Linked DNA regions of Daphnia pulex. The protein of the gene in region 2 interacts with the protein of the main gene of each other region in a pairwise test. Links are inferred from orthologs where the notes say so. Each region holds a gene or a part of one and is shown on either strand. Other genes may lie near its edges.

The links.
Region 1: the proteins of peripheral plasma membrane protein CASK-like (region 2) and potassium voltage-gated channel protein eag-like interact in binary tests that used the Drosophila melanogaster proteins (3 or more experiments, as listed by UniProt). The link is inferred for Daphnia pulex from reciprocal best matches to the Drosophila melanogaster genes CASK and eag.

What each region holds. Positions count from the first base shown.
Region 1 is NC_060017.1:2,828,642-2,832,763, reverse strand, and holds part of potassium voltage-gated channel protein eag-like, read left to right. Parts: intron 1-1,965; coding exon 1,966-2,066; intron 2,067-2,562; coding exon 2,563-2,695; intron 2,696-3,261; coding exon 3,262-3,390; intron 3,391-4,100; coding exon 4,101-4,122. UniProt on the Drosophila melanogaster protein: Structural component of a potassium channel. Mediates the potassium permeability of membranes; potassium current is regulated by CaMKII and CASK. Has a role in growth of the perineurial glial layer of the larval peripheral nerve.
Region 2 is NC_060018.1:1,069,186-1,073,829, reverse strand, and holds the start of peripheral plasma membrane protein CASK-like, read right to left. Parts: upstream 2,994-4,644; 5' UTR 2,849-2,993; intron 2,478-2,848; 5' UTR 2,460-2,477; coding exon 2,401-2,459; intron 2,337-2,400; coding exon 2,224-2,336; intron 2,164-2,223; coding exon 2,058-2,163; intron 1,987-2,057; coding exon 1,909-1,986; intron 1,845-1,908; coding exon 1,669-1,844; intron 1,601-1,668; coding exon 1,425-1,600; intron 1,339-1,424; coding exon 1,216-1,338; intron 1,139-1,215; coding exon 949-1,138; intron 61-948; coding exon 1-60. Other genes in the region: ATPase family AAA domain-containing protein 2-like, read left to right, coding at 3,459-3,689, 3,751-4,107, 4,170-4,397, 4,462-4,615.

The DNA of each region.
Region 1 (4,122 bases), on a different chromosome or scaffold from region 2:
GACGAAAATTGCAATTCAGAATTGAATCAATTTAGACATCCGATGGAGAAAAGAGAATAAGAAAGACGTCGGTCTCATTTCTAAAACGTGTACACGGCGGTTTCTAATGTCGAGGATTAGCGCTGTCTATATACAATGGAAAGAAGATCTCTCGCTATTCCAACCAGGAATTAACAAACGTGTGTGGCAGCAGCTGTATGGAGGGAGATAGGACTAGGAGTTAGATCCGTCGCATGGGACGACGTTCCCGGTGCTCTCCTGTGTACCTCGAAATCCTTTGAGATCCCCTTAGTCGTCCTCAACATTTTTCAGACTGATAAAAATTTCCGGGAATCGGCTCCCAAGGCAACGGATGAAATAGAAACCAGGAAGTTTAAGAAAATCAAAATTTCGTTTTGTTTTTTCTTGACCGAGTATAATATTGGATATTTCTTGATTTTACCATCGTGAATAAAACATTGTCTCCCCTAGAGACGACAGTCTAATTTCATTTGCTCGTTTGATCCGGTGAGTTTGCATATTTCATCACTTCAGTAGATATGGCTTATTTCATGACGAGCCTGTGACGAGCGTATCTGCATTTTTCGGTGAGGGAGGGGGGCGCCCATCTTTCTCAATCTGTCAGTCCAGTCCGTCCGTTCGTCCGAATCTGGGAGAAACGGAGCGACAGCTGGGCGGTAGCAGCAGACATGTCCGCGCCTCGAGCGTTGATACACAGACACCCGAGATCGTCTCCGCGTTGACTCATATGCCAGTAGTGAAAACGAGGAGAGTTTGTCTCGAGCAACAGTCGCAGAAAGAGAGAATCTAAACTTAATAATCAAAGAACCAACAAGCGCATCAGCTGGATGGGAGACAGAGTGGAGAGGATAAGGACCTGCCGGGCTCGGCCAGCAACAGCCAAACAAAAACAACGGACGTCTGTCTGTATAAATAGACAGAAATGGCGACTTGTTTTTTTCTGAACCAAAAGAAAGTAAAAAAGAAGAAACTGCCGCCTGGCTCGTCGCGTTGCCAAGCAACGGCGTGATAAAAAACACAAAAAAACAAAAACAAAAATCAAATAATCAAAAAGGCGAATCTTTTTTGGCATGTGATCCGGTTGTTGGCGGTTGGTGAGAGGAGCGCATATCAAAGTGACGGAAGCAACTGCATCTCTCACTTTGGTCTTATATAACGAGACCAGTTGAACTTTGACGGCGCCGATTAAATCGCATCAGGGAAATTGGGCGCCCAATTTGATTCGATGACTCTGATGCGAGTGATGTTGTTGATGTTATACACATATAGTATACCCGGTAAAATGCTCTCTGACGTCTATGATAATTAGCCGGGATTGTGTCATTGTGCGGAATCAGATCAATGGCTAACGGGAAGAAAAGGAGCCCCAAAGTTTAGACAACAGGCTCTAGCTCTCTCTCTCCTGTACTCTATAGAAGCGCAAAGTATGCGATGCATGAATGAACAATATTAGACACAAAAGGAGTTATTATATACACACACATACTGTGTATAGAGTGTGTGTATGTGTGGGATATGTATACATATATACTCTGGTCGCCATGGAGTCGGAGTCACGGGGGTTGTTGCCTTTTCAAGTGAAAAAGGCCGAAACTTGATCAATTCAAGGGTGTGTCCGCCGGTGAATGAAAACGGAAACTCGAACTATTATGCAGTCGCACAACTGTTTTCTATCGTGACGTATGAGAGCAGAGCCCCAGCACCAATTAGCCCTTGCGGCCGTGCTGCGCCGTTACGTAATAACACGCGCGGCACACGGAATCAGTCTGTAATCGACTGTACTATATATAATAATAATAACGCTATCGTTCACCCCCTATTGAATTGGCGCCTTTAACTAATTCGATTTTTGTTCTCTTTTATACTCAATTCCGCTGCTGCTATGCTACGTGACACTGATGGATTGGATTTTCAATTTCGGGGCTCATCAACGTGGACTGGCAGCCGACAGCAGTTTCCTCCTGGCTAACGCTCAAATCGTCGACTATCCCATCGTCTATTGCAACGAATCCTTCTGCAAGATCTCTGGCTACAACCGAGCAGAAGTGAGTTCCGCTGTCTGTCCAATTCTTATTCAATCGTCTGTATATATAAGATGCACCAGATAGATTGCTGCCGCGCTTGTAGACTGCTATCCGTCTAATAAGATACAACAGCGCTTGTTATACTACACCCGTAGATTTCCACTTGCCAAAAATAGCTAGAGAGAGAGAGAGAGAAAGAGAGAAAAATTGAGAGGGGCGAGTTCTTTTGACTCTCTATCGATTATCGAAGAAGCCTAACAAATAATAAGAGAGCTATACACAGTACTAATGCATGTACCGGTAGTGGCATATAGCGTACAAGCTATACTGCTGCCATACTGGAAGATGAAGCACATCAGCAAATGCTAATGATTTTTGTATGTGCTCTCTCTCTCTCTCTCTGTCTGCTTTCGATCGATGCATCGATCCAGAGCTTGTTGGAAATGTTCTTGTTTTGTTCACACACAAAAAGAAATGAAATCCCCTCAAAAAAAAAAAAATTTCTGAATGTGCACAGGTGATGCAGAAATCGTGTCGCTGTTCGTTCATGTGCGGCGAGATGACGGACAAGGAGACGATCCAGCGGGTGGACGAGTGCCTGGAGCAGTACACTCAAGACCAGTTCGAGATTTTGCTCTACAAGAAGAATCGTACGATCCTTTTTGATTATTTCCATTTTTCAGATTTCTACCACTACACAAACATTTTGAGACTTTTGATATAAATGTATATAGATTTTCCCTTTTGTGGTTTTGGTTTGGGAGAGGACATTATCAACCTCTGGGTTTTGCGTCCTCTGTTAACATTTTTTGAAGGCCATGAATTAAATATAGGGTGGCATGGATGGGGGAATATACATACTATACAGGGAAATGAAAATAATGCCTCGGCGTAATATATTTCAGTCCCTACACAACAGGAGAAACTTGGTCTTTTCTTTTTGGAAAGGCAAAAGAAAAGAATAAAATAGCCGCCGTCCAAATTGGATGGTTGTATCATTTCCCTCGGGGTGCGGACTTGTTTGTTTTGATTAGCCAACGGAGAATCAATTTTTTGTTCTTTTTTTTCTTATTCGACAAATTTCGTAGTACATTTTCCCTCATCTTTGAATAATCATCTAGTCGTAGTATATTTATACCTTTATAGTTTTCTATGGAGGGAAATATTATTTTGTTTTTCGGGCTGTGTATATAATTGGTCGTTATCGGGGCTGCAGGTTCTCCGCTGTGGCTGCTGTTGCAGATAGCGCCCATTAAAAACGAGCGGGACGTCGTCGTTCTCTTCTTGTGCACTTTCCGTGACATCACCGCCCTCAAGCAGCCGCTCGAGAGTGAAGAATCCAAAGGTAATGCCAGCCATCTTCTTCTTCTTCTTTTTTTCCTGCCAAATTTTCGTTTTCTTCTCTCTTGCCTCAAGGGGGGTTTCTTCTTTCAGCCTATTATATTTAGAATGCTATCCATAATATAAGGCCGTCTACTAATAAATATTACATATATATATATACCTGTGGAAAGAAAAGGGGGGCAGACAGACAAGTACATAAGCAGAAAGCAACAGCCCAAATCAGCCTCATGCAACGTATGAGCAAAAATCAAATCTGAAAGAAGAAGAAGAATAAAAAAAAGCCTTGGGAAATCGATATAGGTCGTCTGATATATATGTGCCTCATGCTCCATACCAGTAAGAACAAAAAGAAAGTCTTGGTTATATAGAATATAATAGACGAAATACTAGACGACGCCACGTAAGTATCGAATGCCCAATACGTCGGGCTATAAAAACATAGATATAGACTGCTCAGATGATGATTATGTATTGCACCGTGTAATACAAGATCCTAGCATGGAGATCCTATTTATAGCCGTATATCCAACATCAAATAAGTTGAAATCAATGTCACATCCAATCATCAGGGCGCCGTATATCATAAATATCTCAATTTAATTCCCAATTTCTTTTCTTATTTTTTGGTTTCCTTTTGATTTTATCCGTGGGCTGCTGCTCGTGATTTACGAACTCCGGAATTGTGTGGGCGTTTTAAAAAACCCCATCAAGGTCTGAGCAAGTTCGCCAAACT
Region 2 (4,644 bases):
ATGGGGTATCCTGGAGAAACTGGATCTCGTCAATACTATCGAGGACAGCATTGACAGCATCTAACGAAATGAAACAACAACAACAAAAATGAACATTTAACCAGCATCCTTTAAAACACGAAAGCATGTTGAAGGGATACTAGAAAACCATTTTAGTACGCGTGAAATGCAGTATGCTGATAATCCGTAAAAAGGAATTCGATCAATTAGCGGGCACACTTCTATTTTAAAATAAACCCAACTTTAAGCTTTCACGTGTTAAAGTTTTATTTACTTGGTATCAAAGTAATAAAAAGTAAATTTCCTGCAATGTGCTCTCCTTTCATTCGGCAGGCATCCAACAAGAGGTGCCAATCAATGAAATCCAATCAGGACGAAAGCCATCCCCCAATAAAAGAGCGGATGTGATCCCCCCGTCCGTCAATGAAAGCCTTTTTTACTAGCGGAATCCTCTTCAATGGAGTAAACCAGCCACAACTCTTAAACCGCAAATGGAAACCGGAGACGACTACCATATGGGATTCCCCCGGTTGGAAATAAAAGCGACTCAATATGGTTCGGAAAGAAATTTACGAGCGATAAATTTAGCATTTCGTTTGAACAAAAACTCAACTATTATCCAAGGTTGGAAAGAATTGGATTTTTGCGTATTACGGCACCGATTTATCGAGGAACACGTATTGCAAGTTAAAATTAAAAATAAGTTATCAAGATTGGTCGTGCAAATCTATGAAGAGAAATAAATCTAAATAAAGCTAGCTGAAGTTCACGGTATCCGGTTTCCACAAATTCTCTTGTTCCTGCGAACGCCCTCTTGCTACACATCCACCAACTGACGTAATTGCTACATACAATATCCCCGCAAACATTCATGCAACTCCAAAGGGGAATCGAAAAATAATCTATTTAAAAGCCCGTAGGTCACTATTAAAATAGTGCGTGACTTACTGTTGGATATTGATTCATCTTCATCAATATCGGAAAAGGCGTCGCAGTTGGGATCTAAAGAAGGATGCCCCCATTTGATGGAATTTGCCGTGGCCACGATCAAACTCTTGAGCTTCCTACGAGCATTGAATATGCGCATCTCTTCTACGGTGAGGTGGAGGTGGTCTCTGGAGGCGCACTTGTCTCGATTCTGAATACAAATCAAGCAGTCAAAGCAGGTTTTGCATTGGTCACGTCCACAAAGGCAAGGAAAAATTCAAAATTCACCTTGAGCCACCGGTGTTCCAAAGCTTCGTGAACCGATAGACGATCGTTTTGGTCGACGCACAAAAGCTGCTGCAGTAAATCCTTTGCGTGGTCACTAATGGCTCCCCAGACTGGAGCATCGAACTGCAAAATTGCCCAGGAAAAATGCGGACAAATTTAGAAGGATCTAGGCTAGAAGGCCTTGAAATAAATTTACGATGTCCACTTACGTGCAGCTCGCCACTGCAGATGGTGTATCTCAAGGATTCGTCTGTCCCCAAAAAAGGTTGTGTTCCAGACAGCAGAATATGGAGCAATACTCCTGCACTCCATATGTCCGACGCTTTGCCATGCGGTCGATTTAAAGCCATTTCAGGGCTAATATAGAAGCTATCTCCCAATCGACCTATACAAAATTAATACTTGAACTAATACTGTACATTGAATGGGAAAACATAACATCAACAATCAGACCTGATGTCACCACATCTTCGTCAGTAAGACGCTTAGCGCATCCGAAACCCGCTAGTTTTACGGGCGCCGAATTTTCTTTATTTGCAAGCAAAATGTTGTGAGGTCGTAAATCTCGATGGATAATGTCGTGATCATGGCAGTAACGGAGTGCCTCAAGCACTTGACGAAAATAATGGCTAAACAAACCAACCAAAGGTTAATGTAATTCCAACTTACGTTTAAGAAGGTAAATTAGGTTACCTTGCTACAGCTTCACTATAAACAAAACCAGATGTGGCACGTTTAACAATTTCTATACACAAATCAGCTCCTTCCATCCTAATTTTTTTAAAAATAATAGATTCAGTCAATCATTACCCATATGTACAAGCAGGAGTGTAAAAACTTACAATTCATACACCATGTACACCATTCCTTCAGAACTGTAGGTTTCTAATAACTCTACTATGTGGGGGTGTTTAAGCATGTGGCATATGGTGGCCTCAAGTTTAAGATCTAAAAATAATTTGAAATAATTAGGGATTAGTAAAGTTAAAAATCTACATTTAAACATACTGTCAAGTGTGAGTGACGGAATGGCAGTAAATTTGGCTGCATCAACAATTTTAACAGCAAAATGTTGTGCTGTTAACCGGTGGGTGCAGCGCCTAATAACACTGCATGAACCCCTGAAATTTAATTTAATGACAAAAAATTATTGGGAAAATGATAAAGTTTAATGATGATGTTTACCTCCAAATAACTTCTTGTAACTCGTAAGCTTCATCAAACAAAATATCATCTTCAGTCATTTTGAAGCTTGTAGAACACTGTTGAGAAAGAATTCAAATTCAGGTTAGTAAGAAATAGAAAGGAAGTGCTGTCATTCTTATTGTGTGGGTGCATTAATTGAGTTCAACCAACCATTTCCTGATCTATCAGGTTCACTTTCAGCCTAAGAAGGAAATGGCAACTAAACACCCTTCTATAGAAAAGTAACCTTAAAGAATAAACATATCTAAAAGAATTTGATTGCAGGTTTACTAAACATTCCCCTCCCCTTTCCCTTGCCATAATAATATTTCCACTAGCATGCTGTTTCCTGTGAGTGCTGCCAAAAAACGCCCATCCCCTTCTCCGGTACGAATATGAGAATTCAAACGACGATGATTTTGATTCTTGATAGTAGATAGGTACTTACATTAGCAATTTGGTCCAAAACAGAAAAATTTCACCAAACAAACGCAACTAATAAATGTACAACAAGTCTTTAAGCCATTCTTGGACGAAGCGTCTTGCCTTGCCCATTACACACAGAGCAGACATTACTTCGATCTTTTCCCTGGATCCCAGCCTAGGCTATCCGCAGCGCCTCTAGTGTCATTCTAAGGAAATCCCTGCGTACTATTTTATTCCTGAAGATCACTATGTTATTGTATTTTTGTGTCTCGGAAAAGCGCTTGATTATTATCGAATTAGACAATTACGTTGGGATTTCAGTTAAAAAGCAATCGTGAGTTGATCTTCTTGGAGAAATGAGCAACTTTTCTCCTAGAGAACAGTTTAGTTCTTCTGTGTTTTTTCATTTTTTCTTTTGAAAATTTAAATGTGAGCCACCATTTTGCGCCGATTAAAGGTCGTGGTCAGAACAAGCTTCGTTAACCTTCCTCCTTTTCGTTAAACCGTGGAAAAAGTGAAGTTGAGCTTTTGTTGTCCTAAAAGAATTGGCGGTTTATTACGATTAACTCACTAAGCGTGTCAATAACGACTTGTCATAACAAGTGCGATAGTTTTTTAAGGTAAATTTTAAAATGCTTACCCGAGGTAAAATTCCTAATGTTTCGGACGGAGCAAACTGTCAAGATAGTGAGGACAAAGAGGATGATGATGAAGAAACTATGAACGATGACAATTCTTCTGAAAAAGATTCCTCTTCGAGCAAAGATGAGCAGAGTGAGTGTAAAGTACCCTTTCGGCCCCTTTCAGCTCTTCAAATGAAGCGAACTCCTTCAGCAGATCGTGCCAACATGTCACCAGTTTTGGTAAGAAAACATTTTCAATAGGCATAGTAGTGTTTTTTTCAATAATTTTTTCTGCTTCCAGACTGGTCAGCGTTCATCAAGATCTAATTCTAGAAGAGGCCAGTTTGTCAACGAAATTTCTTCAGAGGATACTCCATTGTCAAAACGTCAAGTGATGAAAAGTGGAGGAGGCAAGAGAAAGAGGCTAGTCTTGGTCGAACCAGAAGAAACTTCACAGGAAGCAGAAGCAAAGCTCAACAGTGCAGAAGAAAGTCACGATGAAGAAGTAAACAGTACAAACCAAAGAAAGATTTCTGTTGCAGAAAGTGAAACTGAGAAGCATGATGAAAGTCATGATGGTGTTCGCAGGAGCCAGAGAGCAAAAAGACAAATGTACACTTACAACGACAGTTGGATATTTGCTGAAAAAAATGTCAAGGTTAGTGTTATGAATTTTTCTCATGACTAGAGTTATAAGATTTACACTTGCTGAATTTTTAGGGATATCCTGCTGCAATCAAAGAAGAAGACACAGCAGCAGAAGGAAATGACCGAATGCATACTAGACGTCTACGTAATCTCGTCCCAAAACGTCAAGAAGAAGTAGATCAAGACATTGAGGACGAGGAAGATGCTCGTCAGATCGCTAACAGACGTGCACAAATCCGAAAACGCAATAAAGCAAAGAAAAAAAAAGTGTCGCGATACCAGACTTCCATGAACGACCAAGTAATAAATCATCAAATTATCTCGTTGGGAGATATCTCGGTAATATTGTTGTTTATTGTTGTAGGATATGTACACAGAGATCAAGAATCGGCGCCTTCGGTCTTCAAGCAATTCTTCAAGGCCAAATTACTCTGGTTATCATTCAACAGTAATAAACGCAAAGAAAACGCCGGCTAGAAGCCAACGACATCGTCGACCACAATATGAATCTTCTAATGGTAAAATTTTATAATATCTTTACATGTTT